Linked DNA regions of Mus musculus: region 2 is reported to be linked to region 1. The links are microRNA targets in miRTarBase. Many come from high-throughput screens and were not tested one by one. Region 1 holds a microRNA gene; the other region holds the end of a gene's coding sequence.

Region 1 (4,405 bases):
GTTAAGCATGAATTTGAACTCCTGAGACTCCTAACTCTGGCAAGTGGTTTTCATTTGATAAGTGAGATTTTTCCCTATACCATGAATATACACTCAATGAAACTCAAAGCACGCATAAATCAAATGGATGACTGCCATGTGTGTTTGTGTGCACATGTATGTGTCCCTAGTTGTGTGTGTGTGTGTGTATACATATATACATATATATACATATATATATATGCATGTTCATATACGCGCATGTACAGGCATACTTCCCTATACACATAAACACAAACACAGGGAAAATCACATGAATTCCGGGCTGATCTCTAACTCATCATAAAGTTAAACATGAATTTGAACTACTCATCCTCATGATGCTGGCAAGAGTATTCACCTCCTAACTGAGTCATAGCTCGGGCCATTCGTGGGAATATGTTTGCATGTGAGTATATGCATATTCATATACAGAAGTGAATATATACACAACTATACACACATGCACATTCTTGGTGGGCATCACATGAATCGCATACTGAACTCTAACTCATCATGAAGTTAAACATAAATTTGAATTCCTCATCCTCCTGACACTGGCAAGAGTACTCACCTCCTAACTGAGACATAGCTCTGGCCATTCCTATGAATGTGTGTGCATGTGTGTATATGCATATTCATATAGAGAAGTGAATATGCACACAACTATACACACATGCAAATTTTTGATGGGCATAAGATGAATCCCATGCTGGTCATGAACTCATCATGAAATTCAGCACAAATTTGAACTCCTGATCCACCTGACTCTGTCAAGGGATTTCACCTGCTGAGTGAGACCTCTCCCCATTCAGTACTGAGGAATCTTAAAACTCTAAGTCACACGTCATTCAAATGGATCGATGAGTTGCACTGATGTTTGTGTGTGTGTTTCTGTTTGTGTCTGTGTACATGTATATATTTGTGTAGATAGGTACATCCATATACTCAAATCCACACACAATAGAAACAGATACAGATAGGGATACATAGGGGCATCACATGAATCCCAGGCATATCTTAAAGTCATCATGAAGTAAAGCATGAATTTGAACTCCTGATCCACAATCTTTCACACCTGGTGAGTAAAACCATTCACTGTCCCAAACTGCATAATCTAAAACTTTAAGTCACATATCATTCAAACGTATAAATGAATGCAATTTTTTTCTCTGTGTCTGTACTTGCATATACACGTGTGTTTATATTTTGTATATCATGTCAACAGAGGCAATGCATATACAAGTAAACACACATGCACATACATGGGTGGCCTCACATGAATACCAGGATGATCTCTAACTGAATTAAGCATGAATTTGCAATCCTTATCCTCCTGACTTTGTCAATCTTTTACACCTGGTGGGTGAGACCATTCAATGTCCCCTATTGCATAATCGCTAAAACTCTACATCACTTATCATTCAAAGGGATTGGCGAATGCCATTCCTGTGTCTGTGTATGTGTGCTTGCGTTTATACGTGTGTGTGTATGTTATGTATATTCAAATATAGACATGAACATGCACACACAACTATACACACATGCACATACATGGAGGAATCACAGGCTGATCTCTCATGAGGATAAGTATGAATTTGAACTCCTGATACCCTTAACTCTAGCAAGCATTTTCACTCTAAGTCACTTATCACTCAAATGGATTGATGAGTGCCATTCCCATGTGTCTGTGTGCTCATATGTGTCTTATGTGTGCGTGTATGTATATGTATATCATATTCACATATGTACATGTACACACACATCAACACATACACACATACATAGGGGCAATCACATGAATGCCAGGATGACCTCTAACACATCATGCCTTTACCATGAACTTGCACTCCTGATCTTCCCGACTCTACCAAGGGTTTCCCGTGGTTTGTGAGACCTCACCCTGGCCCAGTCATACATAACCTCCAAAGCAGTAGGTCACATATCATTCAAATGGATCCGTGAGTGCCATTCCCGCATGTCTGTGTGCATGTGTGTGTAGGTGTGTGTATGTATATGCATAAAATATACACGCATATACATGCAGGCACTTACGCACACAGGCACATACATAGGGGCCATCACATTATTCCAGGATGATCTCTAACTGCTCATGAAGTTAAGCATAAAATTGAACTCCTGATCTTCCTGACACTGCCAATTGTTTACACCTGGTGAGAGAGAATATTCACTGTCCCTCTACTTTATAATCAGCAAAATTCTAAGACATATATCATTCAAATGGATCAATGAGTGTCATTCTTATGTGTGTGAGTGTGCATGCCTGTATGTGTGAATACATTTGTATGTGTGTGTATTTACAGGGATGATCATATATACACATGTACGTGCACACACAATTATATGCAAATGTACATAACTAGGGTCGATCCCACAAATCCAGGGTGATCTCTAACTCATCATGAAGTTAAGCATGAATTTGACCTCCTGAGACTCCTAACTCTGGCAAACAGTTTTCATTTGATAAGTGAGATTTTTCCCTATACCATGAATATAAACTCAATGAAACTCTAAGCACGTATAAATCAAATGGATGACTGCCATGTGTGTTTGTGTGCACATGTATGTGTCCCTAGTTGTGTGTGTGTGTATATATATATATATGTATGTATATATATATATATATATATATATATATGCATGTTCATATACGTGCATGTACAGGCATACTTCCCTATACACATAAACACAAACACAGGGAAAATCTCATGAATTCCGGGCTGATCTCTAACTCATCAAAAAGTTAAACATGAATTTGAACTGCTCATCCTCATGATGCTGGCAAGAGTATTCACCTCCTAACTGAGTCATAGCTCGGGCCATTCGTGGGAGTATGTTTGCATGTGAGTATATGCATATTCATATACAAAAGTGAATATGTACACAACTATACACACATGCACATTCTTGGTGGACATCACATGAATCGCATGCTGAACTCTAACTCATCATGAAGTTAAACATGATTTTGAACTCCTCATCCTCCTGACACTGGCAAGAGTGCTCACCTCCTAACTGAGACATAGCTCTGGCCATTCCTATGAATGTGTGTGCATGTGTGTATATGCATATTCATATAGAGAAGTGAATATGCACACAACTATACACACATGCACATTTTTGGTGGGCATAAGATGAATCCCATGCTGGTCATGAACTCATCATGAAATTCAGCACGAATTTGAACTCCTGATCCAACTGACTCTGTCAAGGGATTTCACCTGCTGAGTGAGACCTCTCCCCATTCAGTACTGAGGAATCTTAAAACTCTAAGTCACACGTCATTCAAATGGATCGATGAGTTGCACTGATGTTTGTGTGTGTGTTTCTGTTTGTGTCTGTGTACATGTATATATTTGTGTAGATAGGTACATCCATATACTCAAATCCACACACAATAGAAACAGATACAGATAGGGATACATAGGGGGCATCACATGAATCCCAGGCATATCTCTAAGTCATCATGTAGTAAAGCATGCATTTGAACTCCTGATCCACAATCTTTCACACCTGGTGAGTAAAACCATTCACTGTCCCACTACTGCATAATCTTGAAAACTTTAAGTCACATATCATTCAAACGTATAAATGAATGCAATTTTTCCTGTGTGTGTGTGCTTGCAGATACACGTGTGTTTATGTTATGTATATCATGTCAACACATACAATGCACATACAAGTAAGCACACATGCACATAAATGGGTTGCATGACATTAATACCAAGATGTCTCCAAATGAAGTTAAGCATGAATTTGCAATCCTTATCCTCCTGACTTTGTCAATCTTTTACACCTGGTGAGTGAGGCCATTCAATGCCCCCTATTGCATAATCTCTAAAACTCTACATCACTTATCATTCAAAGGGATTGGCGAATGCCATTCCTGTGTCTGTGTATGTGTGCTTGCGTTTATACGTGTGTGTGTATGTTATGTATATTCAAATATAGACATGAACATGCACACACAACTATACACACATGCACATACATGGAGGAATCACAAGCTGATCTCTCATGAGGATAAGTATGAATTTGAACTCCTGATACTCTTAACTCTAGCAAGCATTTTCACTCTAAGTCACTTATCACTCAAATGGATTGATGAGTGCCATTCCCATGTGTCTGTGTGCTCATATGTGTCTTATGTGTGCGTGTATGTATATGTATATCATATTCACATATGTACATGTACACACACATCAACACATACACACATACATAGGGGCAATCACATGAATGCCAGGATGACCTCTAACTCATCATGCCTTTACCACGAACTTGCACTCCTGATCTTCCCGACTCTACCAAGGGTTTCCTGTGGTTTGTGAGACCTCACCCTGGCCCAGTCATACATAACCTCCAA
Region 2 (4,405 bases), not on the chromosome of region 1:
CCTCCTTTTTTTCCTGCAGACAGCTGAGCCTGCTGGACTTTCCCTAAGGGCTGATTCAGACTCTGGAAGCAAAAGACAGGACCCAGACACCCAGCTCAGCCTGCTCCTCCAACAGGGCCAGGCCCAGGCCTCAGGACACACAGAGAAAGTATGGGCCTCCCAACAGAAGGCGGTACTATATTGGTCAACTCAACCTGTGGGATGGGGGGTGTTGGGGTGTCAGGGCCTGGAGAAGGGGACACAGGACAGAGGAAGAAGCCAGGCTGTCATAGGTAGAGGCTCAGGCTGAGATGGGCCTGGGCTTAGACCCTGTCTCCACGGTTCTCATTAATTTTCTTCCCTGGTCTTGCCTTCTCCCCCTAGACATCCCAGGCATCCAGACCCAGGCCGCCCATCCCCGCCAAGCCTCAGCTTCCTCCTGAAGTCTATACAAGTCCTGCTTCACGACTGCATCAGGCCCCACCCATTAACCCCATCTACCAGGAGCCTGATGAACCCATAGCCTTCTATGCCATGGGGCGGGGCAGCCCTGGGGACGCTCCTAGTAATATCTATGCTGAGGTGGAAGGGCCATCGGGAACGGCGCCCATTGGACACCCCATCCTCCGAAAGTGCTGGTCCAGGCCTATCTCAAGAGGCCAGGTAAGGGAGGTACAGGGAAAGATAAGCTCAAGGAGTCGAGCAGAAAGAGGGAGCCCCTCCTGAATATCGGGCAAGGTGAAGGTCAGCAGGCTGAAGCGAGATGGAGTGTTCCACGCTGCCGAAAACCTTTGCCCAGCTCCAGGCCTAAGGCTCTTCCTGGACATTCACGTGGACTCAGCTTTGTCAAGCCCTACCTGCCCCTACTTCAGGTTTCCTTCAACCACTCTCCATCCCAGGCTGCCTCTCATTGGTCAGGCCTTCCTCACACACATGTGACACTGACCCAGCTCCCTGGAGAGCGTCACTGCCAGTGGGCTCAGAGGAGGAGGCTGCCACACTGTGTGCTCACCCTCACAGTTTCCCCACAGAGTTTCAGTCATGTCTGAATGTGGTATTACTATTAAAGGAGTCAGACTCTTTCCCTTGTACCTGCGTCAGGTCCTACTTCAGGCTTCCTCTCTGCTGCCACCAAAGGTCCCTGCTTGGCCCTCACCAGCCCAGCTCACCTGTACCCTACCAGCCTTCTTAACCCTGGGTCCATCCAGGCTCTGCCAGGGTTCCAAAGCCACTCCAACATCAATTGAACCAACCTCACTCGCACCCTGTGTGGGCGCGCGCATGAGCGCGCGCGCGCACACACACACACACACATGCACCACGCACAGTGTCCTGTGTTCCACACCCTGATTGATTAACCCCCAGCACCCAGCTATCCAGCCAGAAATGTGGGGTCCCTAAACATCTCCATCCCCTTTGCTTCAGTCTCTGTCTGTCAATAATGTCAGTTGCCTCTACCTCCCAAGTTCTGGAATTACCACTGTGTGCTCCTACAGTATGTGGGATCAAACTTGGGGCTTGGTACGTGCTAGACAAGCACTCTATGTCTGAGCCACACCATGATTTCACTGAGTGGCTTAACTGCCTTCCTAGTACCAGGCTTGTCAGCTCTGACCTGTTCTTCCCCGAGGAAGCCAAAATGGGCTCTGTGAGTCAGCTGCCTGGTCCTCCAGCTCTTCCATACTGAGGCGAGGTCCCACTTCGTCAGCCCCACTTCAAGCACCCACACCATATTTCTCCAAACTCACCAAAGGCTACCAAGTCAGTCCTGCCCACAGCAATCCCTACAAGACCGCCCTCCTGCTGCCTGGCAACCCTTAACCCCACTCAAGACCACAAGCCCTTCCCCTTGCAAAGCCTTCCCTGGCCTGACCTCCCAACACACCCTTGCCAGGCCCCTGCTCAGCCCAGACTCCCATTGCTCTTTTTTTCTTCTATCTCCCCTTCCTGCAGAGCCTGATTCACTAGAGGCAGCCCTGGGGGATGCTCAGCTATCTCTAAAGTACTGGCCCAGTGCTTGGCATGAAGCAACTGCCTCAGGGAGGGAGGGGGAAGGGAGAAGAGGAGAGGCAGAGGGATGGACGGGAACCTAAATCCCCTCTGGAGGCCAAAGGGTTAAGACCATATACCTTCTCCTAGAGACTGTAGCTCTGCCAAAGAGGCAGAGGGTATGACCCAGAGCTGTCCTTCTGTCTGCAGAGGACAGATGGTCCAGAGCTGCATTCTGAGGACTGTGTGGCAGAGTAAGACCCTGTCCTTCATCATGAGCCCCCCTGGCCCTAGAGGCTTGCCCTTTCTAGACAGAGAGCACTCATGGCTCCCCATCAGGCCTTATTAGGGGTAAGTCTGATCTGGGAGGGTAGCTTGGGGCATTTTGTGTCCTGAGACCTTCACAGACCCCTGGGTCCTCTCTTAGGGAAGGCAGGTGGGATAGACTACAGGTGAGCAGAGCTTCATCTGCTACACGGATGGCGAGGAGGTGTCACCCCGCGTGCCAGCTCCAATCCATTGGTCTCGGCTGCCTGGCATGCAGCATTGGAAGGATATTAAGGTCAGATCTAAGCTCAGCAGAAAGGAGCAGGTGACGGATGAGTGGCGTCTGCTGTGGGTGCGGGAAGGGTGAGCAGCGTTTCTTTCTCTCCTATCAATTAAGTCCAGTCCTCTCATTATGCAAATCAAGAAACAAGCCAGAGAAGGAGAAAGCCTGGGCCAAGGTCAAGGATTGAAACCCCTCTCAGCATTCCCCATCCGTCCTCTGAATCCTCACTTCTCCACAAGGGACAGAGAGATTTCCTCAGCTAAGAAGCTGGTTGCTCTCCAGAGTTCTGCACTGGGACCTCCCTGCACTCCACCTTTCCCTGTCCCCTTAACAAGTCTGCCTTCCTTGCTCCAAAGCAGCCTGGAAGTCAGAGGACCAAATGTGGGATCTGTGCTTCCTCATAGCAACACACACACCACACACACACACACACACACACACACACACACACACACACACACACACATGCATGCATACACACACACACATACACACACGAATACACACACATGCTTGCATACACACACACATGCACATACACACATACATGCATACACACACATAAACACATACACACACACATGCATACTTGCATACACACACACACACAGACACTCACACTGCTCCCTTCTGAAAGTCACCAGGAACCAAGGCAAGGAACTGTATGTACTAGGGAAGCCATCCTGCCTCCTGTGCCCTGGTTTTTCCTCCTGAAGAAACTGGACTTTAGGAAGCCTTGGCACTCTGAGCCTTCGCATCTGGGCCCCGATCCAATGGCTGCTGTTGTCTGAGAAATGTTTTGGTGAGAACAGATGTTAGGATTTGTTTGTTGGTCCTTGTCTGGCTAATAAATCATTAGCAACAATCTCCCTCCTCGGGAATCTCTGTCCTTCCAGCTCCTCCCCAGCCCTTTTCTCTCTCCCACTGTCGCTCATAGGGGTCTAGAGGTTCAAAGACACTTAGGCAAAGTTATTGATCTTTTGGCTGAAAGTTAAAAACCATGAGGACAAGGACACGGACTCCCTTTGCCAAGTGCTTCTCCCTTAGCTGGGGTAGGCTGGGTGGGCAGCCCGGGCACAGGAGTGGGTGCCTATAGAGATGGGCAACTCAGGACTTGGGAGAAGGGTGCCTTAGCAATCTGTGAGCCCTCAGAGGAGGCAGCTTAAGTCCTTACCTCACTCAGGAGCCCATCCCCCTCCCTGCCCCATTCTATGGGCCTTTCTCCCTTCTCTGCCCAGACTCACTTCAGGACTGGCTTCCTGCCCTAGAGCTAAACTCCTCTAGAGTCCTAGCCCGGGAGCAGTCTGTGCTAGGTCCCACTTTCATCTCACTGGAGGTTTTCTGAGGCTGGCCATGCATGGCCCTACTGGCTCCAGAGTCACCCGAGTCTCTGGAGGTAGCCTTTGCCACTGTTTCTCTCTCTGTGTAGCTCCCCACACAGCTGTTACCCCGATTTACTACAGCTCATTTAAGGTAACATGTGCTTTTTGTGTCCTGTCTCAAAAACAAAAAAACAAAACAAACGAAAATAATGGACTGGCCCTCTGAACCTGTAAGTCAGCCCCAATAAAATGTTGTCTTTGTAAGAGTTGCCTTGGTCATGGTATCTGTTCACTGCAGTAAAACCCTGAGACACTCTCCTGTTGCCTTGACTTCCCTGCCGTGACATGCTTAAAGTGTGAGCTAGGAAAAAAACAAAAAATAAAAACCCTCTCTCCCAGCTGATGCTTTTGTCAGAATATTTTATCCCATCAACAGGAAGAGAAACTAAGATAGCACTTCTTCTTCCCGGCCCAGGCACTCTGGCCCAGCCTGCTCTCACATCTGCCAACAGTCAGACTGTTCGCACTGTAGATCCAGCTGTCCTCCAGACCCAACCTTTCGCCA

Evidence for each region. The annotated mature microRNA mmu-miR-466e-5p reads GAUGUGUGUGUACAUGUACAUA and lies in region 1 at 1,764-1,785, opposite strand. An mRNA with a match to its seed (bases 2 to 7 or 8) in the 3' UTR can be bound and repressed. Matches are read on the target gene's strand: a 7mer-m8 pairs with bases 2 to 8, a 7mer-A1 pairs with bases 2 to 7 and ends in A, and an 8mer does both.
Region 2: the mRNA of Sh2d2a is a reported target of mmu-miR-466e-5p. Seed matches in the 3' UTR shown: 7mer-m8 at 908-914, 7mer-m8 at 1,288-1,294, 7mer-m8 at 2,979-2,985, 8mer at 3,001-3,008, 7mer-m8 at 3,023-3,029, 7mer-m8 at 3,043-3,049 and 4 more.

What each region holds. Positions count from the first base shown.
Region 1 is chr2:10,476,479-10,480,883 of GRCm38, reverse strand. It overlaps Mir466e (microRNA 466e), which reads right to left and starts at 1,796; the gene lies at 1,713-1,796. The region is part of intron 10 of Sfmbt2 (Scm-like with four mbt domains 2); the gene reads right to left. Mir466b-8 (microRNA 466b-8) reads right to left here and starts at 4,256; the gene lies at 4,171-4,256. It overlaps Mir669a-1 (microRNA 669a-1), which reads right to left and starts at 4,031; the gene lies at 3,935-4,031. It also overlaps Mir669g, Mir669j, Mir467a-2 and Mir669a-4.
Region 2 is chr3:87,851,704-87,856,108 of GRCm38, forward strand. Sh2d2a (SH2 domain containing 2A) reads left to right here. Exons shown (of 7, transcript NM_021309.3): 6 at 20-172; 7 at 364-4,019. The coding sequence ends at 705. Among named protein-coding and RNA genes, the nearest start is that of Sh2d2a, 7.2 kb to the left of the region's middle.